Rhinolophus ferrumequinum: one gene and its partners. The protein of the gene in region 1 interacts with the protein of each later gene in a pairwise test. Links are inferred from orthologs where the notes say so. Each region holds a gene or a part of one and is shown on either strand. Other genes may lie near its edges. The genes, in order: HTT, PFN2 and PIAS1.

The links.
Region 2: the proteins of HTT (region 1) and PFN2 interact in binary tests that used the Homo sapiens proteins (3 or more experiments, as listed by UniProt). The link is inferred for Rhinolophus ferrumequinum from reciprocal best matches to the Homo sapiens genes HTT and PFN2.
Region 3: the proteins of HTT (region 1) and PIAS1 interact in binary tests that used the Homo sapiens proteins (3 or more experiments, as listed by UniProt). The link is inferred for Rhinolophus ferrumequinum from reciprocal best matches to the Homo sapiens genes HTT and PIAS1.

Annotation. Positions count from the first base shown.
Region 1 is NC_046288.1:86,318,876-86,324,067, forward strand, and holds the start of HTT (huntingtin), read right to left. Parts: upstream 3,625-5,192; coding exon 3,422-3,624; intron 1-3,421.
Region 2 is NC_046285.1:9,037,856-9,043,047, forward strand, and holds the start of PFN2 (profilin-2), read right to left. Parts: upstream 3,050-5,192; 5' UTR 2,132-3,049; coding exon 2,000-2,131; intron 1-1,999. UniProt on the Homo sapiens protein: Binds to actin and affects the structure of the cytoskeleton. At high concentrations, profilin prevents the polymerization of actin, whereas it enhances it at low concentrations. By binding to PIP2, it inhibits the formation of IP3 and DG.
Region 3 is NC_046289.1:43,261,262-43,266,453, forward strand, and holds the start of PIAS1 (E3 SUMO-protein ligase PIAS1), read right to left. Parts: upstream 2,985-5,192; 5' UTR 2,897-2,984; coding exon 2,873-2,896; intron 1-2,872. UniProt on the Homo sapiens protein: Functions as an E3-type small ubiquitin-like modifier (SUMO) ligase, stabilizing the interaction between UBE2I and the substrate, and as a SUMO-tethering factor. Catalyzes sumoylation of various proteins, such as CEBPB, MRE11, MTA1, PTK2 and PML.

The DNA of each region.
Region 1 (5,192 bases):
CCACGCTCCCCTTCCCTCTGTGCGCAGCCATCCTGCTACTCCCATGACCTGACCAAACTCTCCAATGCCTTCCTATGTCACTTAGAACAAAGGCCGATCAATGTCTTTATCCTACAAGGATCCAGTGTGGTCCTGCCTCACCTCCTACCAAGTCTCCCTCTCACTAATTCTACCAGCCATACTGACCTCCTTGCTATGCCTCAGACAGGGGGGCTATGAACCTGCCTCCCGCCTGGAATGCCCCTCCTCCACACCCTCATGGCTATATCCTGGGCTCACTTCAGGTGCTCACCCCAAAGCCACCATCTCAGCAGATCTTCCTGGGCCCTATCTAGAATGGCAACACCTTATTATCCCAGGCATTTCCTAGTTCCCTTCCCTCCTCCGCTGCTCCTCCTTCATTTGTCACTATCTAGCACACTGTATGTTTTACTGATCTAACTTGTTTATTGTCTACATCCCTCACTAAAATGAAGCTTTATCTGTTCCCTGCTGTAGCCCTGCACCTATCAGAACAGTGCCTGGCACACATTAGATGTCAGTAAATACTTACTGATGAGTGAATAATTAAAGTCAAGGGAAAACTGGCGGGAATCTGAATGAGAAAGTGCCAAAGGCAAATGTCAACTGCTTCATAATTGCAGTCGAGGACTCTCCCACGCTTTGGCACTCCCTGCACGGCAGGCCCACCCAGGACCCCTGCATCCTATATGCTGAGTCAGAGAACAGGCACTCAGATACTTCAGCTGAAGCCCACCCATGGCTGTGACACTAAAGTTCCACACCACAGACAGCAAGAGCCATAAAAATAGAACAGGTACTTTCTCAATTGCTTTTGGCCAAACTTACTGTGGGGAATGGATTTTTCAGCTGAAGCATCTGAATGCCAAGATTCAAATTGTAAGCAGTGAGTTGTTTACTCAAAATTTACGAATACCTGCTTTCTCAATAGCAAAGTACATAAAATATATTTATGCATTTTATTTAAAATAACTATAATCAAGGGCCGGACCAGTAGCTCAGGCGGTTAGAGCTCCATGCTCCTAACTCCGAAGGCTGCTGGTTCAATTCCCACATGGGCCAGTGGACTCTCAACCACAAGGTTGCCAGTTCAATTCCTCCAATCCCGCAAGGGATGGTAGGCAGCGCCCCCTGCAACTAAGATTGAACAGGGCACCTTGAGCTGAGCTGCTGCAGAGCTCCCGGATGGCTCAGTTGGTTGGAGCGCGTCCTCTCAACCACAAGTTTGCCGGTTCGACTCCTGCAAGGGATGGTGGGCTGCGGCCCCTGCAACTAGCAATGGCAACTGGACCTGGAGCTGAGCTGTACCCTCCACAACTAAGACTGAAAGGACAACAACTTGACGTGGGGAAAAAAAAAAAAAAAAGTCCTGGAAGTACACACTGTTCCCCAATAAAGTCCTGTTCAAAAAAAAAAAAACTATAATCAAGCCTAAAGCAACTGACTTCAGAGCATGCTAAGAACCTTTCAAAGCTACTCTTCTGAAATACTTTTGCTTTTAAGTAATTTAAAATCTATCTTCATATATGCATAGATTATATCTGGAAGGATTCACAAGAAGGAAGTAAAACCGTGCTTGCCTCCGGGGACGGAATTAGGCCCTCAGGAGAAAGGAGTGGGAGAGAGAATTTTAATTTTTACCTTTTGGAATGTATTACTTATGCAAAAATAATAGATAAAATTATTCAAATAAGTCAATCATACTTTCCTGAAAGTAATGAAACAAAATCTACTTTTGTCAAGTCGGCTTTACAAGGAAACCTCTGTATACCCATATTTTGAAGATAAGCAAATTCAGGTTCTGACAAGTCAGCATAAGAAACAGAGGCAGGTTTTTAGATTGACGGAGTGGAGGAGTCACCAGGTGGCAGTAAACCTTGCAGAGACCCCCTTAGTGTTTCCCTTGTTTACACACGTGGAAACGTCTGTGACATTCACTTCCTGGAGAGACATTACATACAATAAGTCTCGAATGGGTTATGATTACAAATTACTTGCTCTAGAGATAAAGTCAAATTGTTTAAAAAAAATTTTTTCTCTCTAAATATGCAAACAGGTTTTTCACATCTTAGAAGGAAAAATAATTTATTTCTTCTAAATTTTATTCTAACAGATAAGCCACCATTACTCCCCAAGTCCTCATTTTCCAATTAAACTATTAGGACACAGCAAGAATTATGTCAGAAACATAAAGAACAAGAAAACATTACTAAGAGTGAATCAGCCTTAAAAGAGCAAGCTCCTTAAAGGGGCTGCTTCTTGGAAAGTGTCCCCATTAAATACCATCTTACACATCTTCAGATCAGAAGTCTAATGCCCCGAGCTGAGACAGGCCTGAACTGCAGCAAAGCACCCCCTAAACTCTGCTCAACACACAGCACAGGAAGACTTCAGGGAACAATACTTGGGTTCTGTTAGAGGGTGCCATTAGTGGTCTCCCTTTTCCTGTTTCAAAAACTGTCCCGGGCACAAGCAACAGAGATCCCTATTATGAAAGCAGTATCAGGATGCCGGCAATGAAGGGAACAGGAGACGTCCGTGGGGTGCGCTGACACCCACGCTCTGTCCAGCAGGCTGGACGACACCACCAGTAAAACGCACATCAGTCACCGCGCCCCACGATGAACTTCTCTCCCTCAGCAGTGTGTCGTTTTTATTTCCAAGTGAAAACAGGCCGTAAACTTCAGTCAACTCTTAATACTTAAGTCAATTCTATTACTTCTCACTCGTTAGCAATCATAACCATCTACGTATGGTCACCACTTACTTGGCAACCACAACTCGGTCAAATGCGTGCAGACCAAACTTGAGCTTGGACAAGCAGGCCTCTTACTGATGCTTAAAATCCTGTGATTACCACTGCGATTCCCGGACTAAGGGGAATGTCTCGAGAATGTGGCAGTACAGCCTTAAGTCACACAAGCTGTCTCAAGGGCCCCTGGCAAAAAGAATCTCCCACAGACGGCGCCGCACTGGCCCGCCCTCCCAGTCTAGGGCATGACGTCATGCACTGTGCCCACAGCGCTCCAGCTCCCAGCTCCCCGCGCAGCGCCCTGCGCCCCCAGCCCTGCTCCCTCTCAGACTAGGAGAGGGAGCGGAAGTGGCCCGGGGGAGCCAGATGCGACGCGCTCAGGGCGCCGCCAAGTTCTGCTACCCACGCAGCCCGGCCCTTTGCAATACAGAGCAGTAAGTTCCCCCCTAACTTGGCACGCTGAAAAACAACCGTGGCCGCCTCGGCGCCTTCTGGAGAGGCTGTGCCTGCACGCGCGAAGGCACTGAGGCCCACGCGAGATGCCGGGACGAGATGCCGCGGCAGGCAAGGCAGTGGAGCCGTGCGCGGGGTGGCCCCGTCGCCGCGGGGCCCGGGGTGCAGGGGGAGATGCAGCGGGCCCGCACTCACGGTCGGTGCAGCGGCTCCTCGGCCACGGCCGGGCCGGGCGGCAGTGTGGGAGGAGGTGGCTGAGGCTGAGGCGGCGGCGGCGGGTGAGCCTGCGGCGGCGGCTGAGGAGGCTGAGGCGGCGGCGGCGGCGGGGGCTGCTGCTGCTGCTGCTGGAAGGACTTGAGGGACTCAAAGGCCTTCATCAGCTTTTCCAGGGTCGCCATGGCGGCAACCCGCTCCGCGGAGACCGCCCCCGAAGCCCAAGGGCCGGCTCGCGGCGCCGCTCAGCAGCGCGGCAATGAATGGGGTTCGGGGCCGCAGGCTGTAGAAGAACCGAAACGCCCGGCCATCTTGAACCCTTCCCAGCAGCCCCCGCGGCCCTGCGTCCTGCGGCGTTCCGCCTGCGGGGCGGGGCCAGACCGGGCCGCCGGGATTGACAGCCCAGGCGGCGGCCTCTGCCAATGACCAAACGAAGTGCTAGCCCGCCCTCCCTCGAGCCCACTAGATCACCTCCCAGAGCTGACGCAGCCACTGAGATAATCGCGCCCCTCCCCTGCGAGGGCGCGGTACACGGAGGGGCGGGGCGCGGCAGTGTGGGCGGGACCTGGCGCTGAGGGGCGAGTCACTACAGAGGGCGGGACTGGGGCGGCACGCGGTGTGTGGCGATGAGGGGCGTGGCGTGGCGGTGATGGGCGGGGTACAGTGCTGAGGACAGGACCTGGCCGTGAGGGGCGGGGCACGGAGGTGGGAGGCGGGGCGGGGCGCTATGAGGGCGGGACGTGGCGGTGGGGGGCGGGGCACGGCATTGAGTGGCGGGAAGGGGAGGGGATACCGGTCACGCCCCGCTCATCCTGGCAGGAGCTCCGCCTGGGCTTGGGCGAGAGACACCAGGGGGCGCCCCTGCCCACCCGTGGCCGGGACTGAGGGGCGGGTCGCCGGACTGCTCTGACGTGAGTAGTCGGGGCTCTTTCTGTGAGGAGCACGGAGAAGTGAGTGCGTCCTTCGCAGAGCTGGGGTCGGGTAGGTCGGCGGAGACCTGCAGGAATGGTCTCGGCGGGAGGAGAGCCTGGGTGTGGCCCCCAGAGAGGAGAGGGAACCCCTGGGGGTCGGCAGCCAGCCGGCAGGCGCCTCCCAGAGTCTGCAGCCTGAGGGCAGGGGAGAAGAGGCTTAGCACGGTCAGGTCAGTGTCTGCTGCCCACAGAGACGATGGCTGTGCAGCGGGAAGCAGTCCTCCCCACCGCAGGAATGACTGCCCTCCAGCGAAGAGGACCCCTGTCCCACAGGTCTGTGGGCACCTCTGCCTGGGCCGCAGCAGGCTGCACGGAAGGGTCGGTGCTCCAGGGCCTCACCACCTCAAGGGGAGGCAGGTGAGCAACTGGGGGGGGGGGCGGGCAGGGACTGCGCTGGCCTCCGAGAGGGCCGCCTGGGGGAGGCAATGCATGCAGCAGGAGCCCACTCGGAGCAGTGCCCTATCTGTGCCACCAGCCACATCTCCACCCTCTGTCAGAGCGTCCGTTGTCCCAAATGGTCAGGGAACAGGAAACCCACCACCACCACGGGCAGTATTGTCCCCAAGGGCACAGCAACAGCTCTCCTTCAGGGGAACACCACATGCACCACCCTTGAGGTCCCAGTTCCGTGATGTTTGTTAATAAAGGACCTTGTCCGTGTGCCAGGCCACTTACCGAACCGCAGGCTGGACAGGCCAGATGGTGTTGGCCGAGAGCTGTCAGGTGCTGGTAGCCAAGTTCTAAGACAGCCCAGTGGCCCCCTCCTGGTGTTCACGCCCTTC
Region 2 (5,192 bases), on another chromosome or scaffold:
CTTAATCCTACATGATTACATGTTTTATATTAATTAGATTTCAGTTAACCGTGTAGTCTACTAATTAAAGACTAGTCTATGAAAAGAATCTATGAACAGTTGGTAGCTGACACTAGATAAACTACAAACTTATTTATAAACTGTATCAAGTCAGGTGGGACCTGAAGTACTTATGTAATGGTAAAGATTCACCTATAAACTTTCAGCAACAGCTTGTCTATCATATTCAGTTACATTACAGTCAGTCACGTTGCATCAAACTTAAACTTGCTTGAAAGTCTCCTGAAATAAAGCCCAAGCTTAGCCGGTCTGTTCACTTCGACTCTGCTTCAAATAGCTTGACATCTCCCCTCCCCCACAGTACGAACTTCAAACTCGAGACCTCAGCGCATTCCCACATTCATATTTCCCTCCTATTTTTGTAGCCACTACTCCTTTTTCTCTCCCACTTATCTTCCCCTCCCACCTCAGTAATCAGTTTTCCTTCTGGGCAAATGAAAAGAGGATTCTGTCTGTAGCACTGCATTAGGCAATGGTAAAAGAACAGAGAAAATGGAGGGGGATTTGGAAAGAAACTGAGGTAGCCACCAGAACCGGAAAGGAGAAAACGTGCATGCTAACATTCCATGAATAAGAAGGAAGGCGTCGCCCCCATCAGAACTGCAGAGTCATAGCAGGCCCCAGCCATTTCCAAGCACACTCCCGCAATCTTCCCAGCCAGACAGCGGGAACTCACACACAAAGACAGGAGGACTGCAGAGAAGAAAGTTGATCGCCAGATACCAATTCCCGGGAAGAATTGTAGTCCACTGCGGTGAAGGGAGCCCTTCACGTGCGAGCATCAAGGACTGAGTTCTACCCGGTTAGATCTTAAACCATGTCAAGTAGTACAAGAATAATTAGTAGCACCCGTAATAGGGGGCCTGATTTTAGCGTTTGATGGGAAGGGGGCATGAGACTAAAAAATTAAGAGACTGGCCCTAGATGTGATACAATTGTCACAATTTTAGAAAGAGCCTTGTGCAGAAAGAAGCAAAACAATAAAGCAGCACCGGAGGCTCAGTGACAATTATTCTCCACATGTGGCAACCGAGTCAAAACCATCAAGTCACAAAATCAGGCACTGGGAAGCACAAATCTGCACTAGTTCCTTACTATCATCACTAAAGAGCTCCCTCTTCAAGGGACTCCAAGAGACTTGGAGAAGAAGTGAGGTGTCCCCTCGGTCCTCAAGATTACTGAAAGCCCCATAAAAGCACCCCCTTTTTTGGAGCTATGTTGCGTAATTGGGGATAACGGTATATCGATGAATCTCCATAGGAGGAGAGAAATCAATGGCAGTTCGCCATCTTGGAGAATTAAAAAAAAAAAATCCTATGGAGGCAGAGCTGAAGTCCAGATTCACGAATCCACCTACGTTGTGGGCGTACATTTCCCTCAAGCCCCAGAGGCCTGGCCACCGGCAAACCTACGCAAAGTCGCCGCGAGGATCCCGGGGGCCGGGCAGCCGCCACCTCCCACAGCCCGCGGCGCGGGCGGCGCGCTGTCCGCGGCGCGAAGGGTGGCCCGGCCGCGAGAGGACCCTCGCCCCGGCCCCGTGCGCCCCGGCCCGGCCCCCCAGGCCCCCGCTTCCACCCCGGGACGTGCAAAGCAAACCGCAGGCTTCCCGGGTACCTGAGGGAGACGCACGAGGGCAAAAAAGGCGACCCCCACCCCCGCTCCGGCCGGTGCGCGCTCCCTCCCCCAGCTTCACCCGCACCCGCACTGGGAACGCGGGGAGCCGGGCCGCCGCCCCCGCCTGTCAGTGCAGCCCCTGGCGAGGGGGCGTCCCCGGGCCTCGGCCTCCCCGCCCGCCCGGCAGCCGCATCCTCGGCGCCGGCCGCCTCGCACACCTGCCCGCGCGGCCCTCCGTGCCCCGGGCCCGCGCTGCGGCGCCCCCACGGCCGGCCGGCACCACTCAGGTCGGGGCTCCGGTACCCGCGCCGCGGCCGGTCCTCACCGTAATGCTCTGGAAGACGCCCCCGGCCGTGGCTGCCCACACGTATTTGGCGTCGCAGTAGCCGACAATGGCGGCCTCCTGGCAGCAGCCATCGCACATCAGGTTATCCACGTAGCTCTGCCAACCGGCCATCTTCGAGCCCTTCGCACTGCAGCGGGTACGGCGAGGAGCAGCAGGCGCAGCGGCGGCGGCGGGAGCGGGTGGCGGCGGCGCGGGGGGAGGCGGGGCGGGGGCGGGGAGGAGGCGGCTCTGCGCAGGCACCGACCGCCCCCCTCCCCGAGGAGCTGCGGTGGGAGGACGCGGAGCCGGCGGCGAGGAAGACGCTGTGGAGGGCGCCCGGCCCGGCTGCCCGCCCGCAGCCACCGGGCTGACTAACCAGCGGCGAGAGGCTGCGGAGTGGCCGTGCTGGCGGCGGCGGTGGCGGCGGCTGCTCCTCAGCGCGGCGCTCCCCGTTCTCCGCGGTCACGGCGGAACGTACGCGCGCGTGCGTGCGATCCTTCCGCGGTGCCCCGACTCGGAGGGTCCCGGGAAGGCAGAAGGAGGCTGAGGCGGGGGCGCGGAGGGATACCGCTCCGGTAGTCACGGCCGCCACGTGCGGGAAACCGGCCCCGGCGCGGCCGAGTAGTTGCCGGTGGCGGAGCCTCGGACCCGGGCCGGTGGAGAGGACGTGTCCCCCATCGCATTAGGCCCCCCAGGGACGGCGCTGTCTGTCCCCGCGGACGGCCTGCGATGCGCCTCTTCTGCGTGGCTCGGGATGCGGAATCTTGAGCCTGGGTGTCGGATTGCAGCGTTGCCCCAGTGACGGGATGCGGAGCGTTTACTCCCGTTTGTGGTGGGGGTGGCTGGTGATAGAGTCGCTCACGCTCGTCCCGGCGTCCCCAGTGGGACCCTCTTCCCTAGATCCCTCTGTCCCTCGGCTATAAAGGCAGCCGAGCGGGCGCGCTCCGGTATCCTGAAATCAGAGCAGGCGTTGGTGGCTCGTAGGAACGTTTCTGAGTTTTGCGGACCTTTCATTGTTGCCTCATTTGGGTACCAGGGGCCTCTCGTTCTGTGTATTCTTTGATTGGAAGAAAGCCTCTCCCCGTAATGTTGCTAATCACGTGTGGCTAAATTGCTCGTAAATTCCGAACAAATAGCGAGCTATGGAAACTAATTTTTGTTAACTGGGAAAGTTATTGGTGGGTTGAAGAAATCGCTGAAAATATATTAAAAAAAAAATCTAAGAAAAGGTTCACTGAATGAACATAGCAATATTTCTGCTCTTGAAGAGTAAAATAATTTCGGAACCCAGATCTGAAAATGGCTTGTATTTACAAAGTAAACGATGGGTAGAGTCCTGTGAATCTCGCATCATCTGTAGTAACCTCTGAGCGCTATGACTAGACAAGGAATTAGAAGACGTCCTACAACAATTTCAATTTTAAGTGAACAAAGATGATCTGCCAATCGAAGGAAACGAAAGCATTTAAAACGTCGAAAAGCTCATTTTCAACTTTTAAGTTACTGTGTAAAGTCACAGTTGGTGACAGGAGGATTACAACGGAGGTAGCTCAGGAAAGAAGACAAAAACGTTGCTAAGCAATCTAATTGGTTCAGAAGTTTTATATTTTTTCTGCTGTTTGTTTGAAATGTACATCTACTGCCAAGAGGTGGGGAAAAGCACAGTAGAAAGGCCCAAGTCAGAAACCTATCAGATTAGCACTTTATGCCAATGATCCAATGATTTGGAATACCTATGCAGAATAAAATGTGTGCAAAAAATTGTTTACATTTTGCAAGTGTGCCTCCTACCTGGTTTACTTACACTTGTTCTTTACTACACCGCCTTTTTGTAGTGGTTATTAATGGTTTTAATGCTTTAATTTTAGCAGATTGTCACCTTAAAAGTTCATGTTACAGTGTGCTGATAACATGGATATGGTCACTTTGTGAGGATTCATCAAGCTGTACAATTATGATTTGTGCTTTTGGTATGCATGCTATAATTCAATTAATTTGAACAGTAAACAGATAATGAGAGGAAAGAGAAATAATAAAATACTGACAGTTTAAAGTATATTGAAATCTAGTTTTATTTATTCTGAAATTTTTAAGATTTCCTTTCTAGACTTTTAATATCAAAGAGGTGGAAATAACTGCATTCTATTATTATTTTATTGTCTTTAAACAGAAAAAAGATTAGACTAACTGAATATTCTGGATATTCAAATCTCAAAAGATTCTAAAATACATCTGTTGGGTAAGACATAAGAGTTTAGAATTTCTGTCATTTTTCTATATTTTTCAAAATGTAATGATACATTTTACAATTATGGTTTTACTTTTCCAACATAGTGTTATTTCCTAGAACTGCATATAGTGAAATTTAAACAACTATGAAAAATATATTCTGTGTATTGATTAACTAGGTTGTATAGTTTAGATTTTTAGATGATATGTTCAAAGAGAATCTCCGTTTTCAATAGTATGATAAAAAATCCTGTGCTGATTTTCTTTAGAACCAGCTTCCTAGAATGCTGCTTTGTTTTTTATTTGTATACAAAGATCTGTTCCTATTTTATATAACTACTGCTTACCACAAGATGTTTCAAAAAGTATAAGTAGAGGTAGAAAACACTGAGTTTAAGGAATAGCAGTATAAATTAAGTCCAAGGGAGTATCAGTATGAGAAAAAGAATTACCAGTTTTTATCTTTCTTACTTTTTTAAGGGTAACTGATCTCTACAGTGATAATAGCAACCTCTGTACAGAAGCAGATACAGATATCTAGAATGATTTAGCTTTTAACAATCAGTAATAGCATATTTAAATTTGGAGTTCATCATTATGCATTCTTTAAAAAATTTTTTTATCTAGGAAAACACCAACTGTGGTAAATTAGATTCTTTAATGTATCAGTCAAGGATGCTTGAGCCATTTAAGTCCCAAGAATAAATCATTTGACATTTTAGCAAAATACAAAGAAACAAGAAGTTGTAGTTGTTAAAATGTATTCAAACTGATAAACATTGGTGTAAGAACTAAACCATTGAATATAATCATATTCACCATAATTAACTAACAGCATAATTAACTGAGCCCACCCTAAGCCCTCAATTACCTAAATTTTTCACCTCCATACTTCATTTTTCGAAAAAAGTGTTTTAATTGTAAAAGTAATTGTCACATTAAGAAAGTTTAGAAATGGATAAAT
Region 3 (5,192 bases), on another chromosome or scaffold:
TGAAGGTAACAAAAAAGTCACTGCATTTATTCAAAGCCTTCTAGTTGGATATCCATTGGAAGTACTGTATTTTCACCTGAAACTTTGAAAAATCTTGGTTTTTCTTAACTCGTACTCTGACTTTTCCTGTCTTATTAACTGTGTTTCCCTGAAAATAAGACCTAGCCGGACAATCAGCTCTAATGAGTCTTTGGGAGCAAAAATTAATACAAGACCCGGTATTATATTTATTATGTTATATTATAAAGACTCGGTCTAATAGCAAACAAGACCGGGTCTTATATTAATTTTTGCTCCAAAAGACGCATTAGAGCTGATTGTCCGGCTAGGTCTTATTTTCGGGGAAACATGGTAGGAATAAATGCTATTCACCTTCAAAAACCACTAATAAAAAAACCATCAGAAAATATAATTTCCAAAAAGACTATCTTCCAAAGCTTACTGTACAGAAAATTATATACACACATTCTAAAATAACTATGGTAGGCGTTCCTAAGATCATCTCACCCTCCAAAAATAAGAATAGCAAATCTATCCACAATCAAGTAGTAACAAAAATTTTAATACAGCTCACTAGTTAAGCAATTTATCACAGCTCCTCAAAGAATTGGGCACATGCAATGACAGACCAGTACGTCAAAACAGTTATATAATTTGAAAAAACTGTACAACGGGAACATAAAAGTAGAAAACAACTCCTCTGGAAAAACTCAAGTAGATTTTGGAGAGAGCGAAAAAGAACAATTTTAGAAAAATGTTTCCCCCAACTGTTTAGCGTTTATCTGATACAGGCTCATTTTTGTAAAGAGAAACTTTACCTAACAAGACTCACACCAGGGATCTGATCTATCCCCAAAGGCAGTTTCTTAAAATGAGAAAGAACAAAGGAGGAAATCTCCCAGCATGTGCTTTCCATACCAGTTTCTGTGGACAGCATCAAGAATGACAATATAGCCAGCACAAGCTTTTCAGCTTTACTGTGTGGTCCATGTATACCAGAATTGATTAGCTACAATTCGAAAGGATTTCTACAAAATAAATATTATCAGGCAAAGATCACATAGTGACTCTTTTTAAGAGTAAAACTACAGAAAACATGTATCTTAAAGTTGTGTAGTACTCTTTATTTCAAGAGTTAATTACCTCCAAATATTCTAATTCCTGAGGCTTTTTCATTTCAGCCAATAGTTTGAAAATGGAAAAAAAACGAAAACTAACCATTCTAAATCTGCTCTCGCTCAAATTAATTTGTAATTAGCAGTAAATGAAAAAAGAATAGCAGTCAAAGACAGTGCCTTAATATACAAATTTTGGAACGTTAACATAAATGTTCACATTGGGCGAAACGATCTTTCTGCGAAGCTTTCCACAGAAAAACTCTGCAGGAACAAACCTGGTGTTTGGTTGCTGTAGAAGTTGTCGTTACATTATAACGGAGAAAACTGTTTAAATGATTTTTATTAATTATAAAAACAGGACCCCCTCAAAGATTTACAACTATATATCCCAATCTCCACTGATAGAGATGTCAGTTCTCTGGGTCAGGATATAACCAGCTGCTTGGTTCACACACAAGGAAGCCACAGAGAAGGAAGATCGCGTTCAGAGCCTTGAAATAATACGCGTTAGTTAAAAACTGCCTGCTACTAAACCAAAATTATTCAAGCGGAGCCCCATTTGTCACAATCCAATCATAAGGGTTCCACCCCCCTCCCCCAACTGCTTGTGTAGTGGTATACTTGCTTCGGTAAAGAAGCCATCATCAGGTAAAGAAGATTGGGGTGGGAGAAAGAGCGGGGAAAAGGGGGGCACCCTTTCATCCAATTTCGCGAGGCGTGAGTAATTGGTACAGTTGAGAGGAACGGAGGAACGTTCTATTTATTGGGGGTTGAAGTAGGATGAGGGAAGAATTTCGTTCAAATCAATATGGCCAGCAAGATGTCCCTACAAACAAAAGGCAACGGGGGGATATAAACACGAACCATTCACCTCCATCAGCTATAGCATCGCCATCATGGTGTGTGCACAGACCCCCAAAGGGCCCTCTCACCCTCCACACCAGCCAAAGGAAGAGAGGATAAAGAAGAGAGAGGTACTTCCCACCACCCACTACTGCTTCCAAAGAGGGGGTTTCTCCCCCCGGTTGCCCAAAATCAGAGAGAGAGTAACGTCCCGCCCAGGCAGACTCCCCCGCTATCCCTCAACTGAACCCCAACACCGGCCCGGAGCTCACTAAACTTTACTGGAGCTTCTCCCCACATCCCCACCCCATCGCCCCAGGATCGCGCTGCCCACCAGCGGGCCACCTCGGGCGCCTCCTGACAGGCGGGCAGCTGGGGAAAGCCAAGTCCCGGGCGGGGGCGGCAGGGAGCAATGGAGGGGCGGGGCGGCCGGAGCCAAGTTCCCGGGGGTCTGAGGAAGAGCGCCTGACAGGAGCCCGGGAGTGCAAAGGAGGAAGAGGAAGCGGCGGCGGGGAGCTTTCCCAATCCCCCCTACATGTACACCCTGTCCTAGCCCCCGCTCCCCATGGGGGGCGGGGAGGCTGACTGGACGCGGAGGAAGCCGAGCCCCAGGGGTAGCCGCAGCCCCCACCTCCCGACTCCGGATCTCTTCCCTCACCACCCCCACCAGAGGCGCCCACAACAATAACACGCCGGGGACGACCCGTCAGCGCCCCCGAGGCACCCGGGGCCCGCGGCCCGCCGCTGCCGGGCTCCCTCAGCTGAGGCCTGGTGCGCCGCTCCTCCCTACAACTCCAGACCCGGGTGGAGTCAGGCTCAAGCGGCCCCCCAGGGTCGGACCCATCCCCCCTGGCACCAGCGGCGCCGTCTCCGCGGCCAAATATTAGAAGTGAATTCGAGCTGCGCTTTACCTTTAGTTCCGCACTGTCCGCCATCTTGCGTCTGTCAGCGCAAGCGCACTGAACCTCGCCAGGGGCCGTCGCTAGACCCGCCCATCTAGCCAGCCTGGCCCCGCCTAGGCCCGGCCCCTCTCGCCCCTCCACCTCCCCGGCCCGCCCCCGGCCTCCTCCTCACTTCTGGAGCTCAGAGCCCCGCCCCTGGCACGTACAGCTGCGAAACGGACACGTACTATTTAAATAATGGCGCCAAGCAGGGAGATTTGACAGTTACTCCCCCCTCGGCCTCCCCAACCCCCATCCTAGCCTGGCTAGCGCCTCCAAGAGAAAGGCCGTAACGAGAGGGCTGCTGGCCTGAGTCCCGCCCTCCGCAGCTTGAGTATCCCTTCAGCAAAGCTTCGATGGCTACTGTCACATGAAACAATAATGTCCCCCTCCCCCAATCAGCAAGTCCTTTTCAGCACCTGCTACCTACGACACTACGTGTAGACTTAAAAAAACAATCCCTTACGTTTAAAGATCACTTGGTGAAGGCATTTCCAGGTTTATTAGCTCAGATCCTCATGACAATCCAGTAAGGTAGGCAGGGAAGAGTTTACAATTCCCGTGATACATATTCAGAAATGAGAGCTCAGAGAAGAAAAGTAACCTGCCCAAGCAAGCACTTAACTGGGGTGGCCTAAGACAAAATTCTGAAGATGTTAATTCATTAACTTCTTTGTGTCAGCAAGTCCTTAATTAGTGACCATGTTCCGGCCCAGTTTCTAAAGTCTATATATACATTGGGAAATTAAATACAACAGAGTCCCTGCCCACCTGTAGTTTTCAAATCAGGGAACAGACAACCAATAATGATACAATTACAACTGGTGATGAGTACCAGAAAAGAGTAAATGGTCTAGGGAGAGGAAAAGGGGTCAGGAGGAGCTGTATTTAATCCTGAAAGGGCTTCCTCCACTAAATTAACATTTAAGTAGACATGATGAAAGAATATTTCACACCTTTTCCTCTCTATTGAAAACTTCCTATACCTTCTCCCCAACCCTCACTTTTTGCTGCTCAACTTTGCCTCACATCTCAGCAAAAAAAGAAAGAAAAAAACTCCCTTATCTTTTCACCATAGAAAACTACTCTTACAGGCATTGGTAACATTTGGGTTACCATGAATGAAGTGTTCCTGTGCCTGTAAAGGCCAGTCCATCCACCAGTGACCTGGATTCCTTTCACTCCCGCATTCCTAAAGATTTTATTCCTCCAATTACCTCACCCTCCAGCATCATTATTTCCCCACTCTCTGACAGATTACTCCTATCAGTATATAAACATACTGAAGTACCTCCCATCTAAAACAAACCTCTGTCGACTCCAAAGTTGCCTCCAGAACTGCCCTATTTCTCTGCTCTCTTCAGTGCATAAATTCTCAGAAAAGTTTTTCAAGCTCTCTCTACTGTGCTGTTTCCACTTCCTCACTTGACGTTCACTCCTCAGCCTACTCTGATCCAGGTTTGACTTCCCTCAAGATCACTTATCTAGATTACTAATGATCTCCCTGTTTCCAAAGCCTACAGCCAATTCTCTATTCTTATCTAAATTGACCTCTCAGCAGAATTGCAAGCAAGTGACAAGTTTCCTTTCGTGTTTATTTATTTATTTTTATTTGTTTTATTTATTTATTTATTTAGTTAGTTTCAGGTGTGCAAAACAATGTAATAATTAGACATTTACACCCTTACAAAATGATAAGAATGAAATCTCACCATTTGCAACGATAGGCATGGACCTAGAGAACATTTTACTAAGTGAAATAAATCAGAAGGAGAAAGACAAATACCACATGATTTCACTTACATGTGGAATCTAAAGAATAGACTAAATGAGCAAACTAAGCTTCCTTTCTTTTGAAACCCTTTTTCCCCTGAACTTCCCTCAATATCTCACCATCGAGACTTTCCTGTTACCTCAATGGGACTCCTTTTCAAAATCCTTTGATTTCTCCCCTTTGGCTTAATCTTTAAATGGTAAGATTAAGATTAATCTTTAAATGGTAAGGCTGTGTTCCAGGGCTCAGTCCTTCTTTTCTCTGTTTTACTCTCCCCAGGTGATGTCCTCCAACTCCTTGACTTTAAGTCTATAAACTAATGATTTTCAAATTGCTGTCCAGCCCAGACCTCTCCAACAAAACCCAGATTCACAAATCCAACTAGCTACTTAATATATCTACTTCATGACTCATAGTCATCTCAAACTCATGTCAAAGACAGCCTTGATTTTTATCCCCAATCCTGCTTCTTTCCCAGTATTCTCAGTTGATGGCACCATCATTCACCCAGTTGTT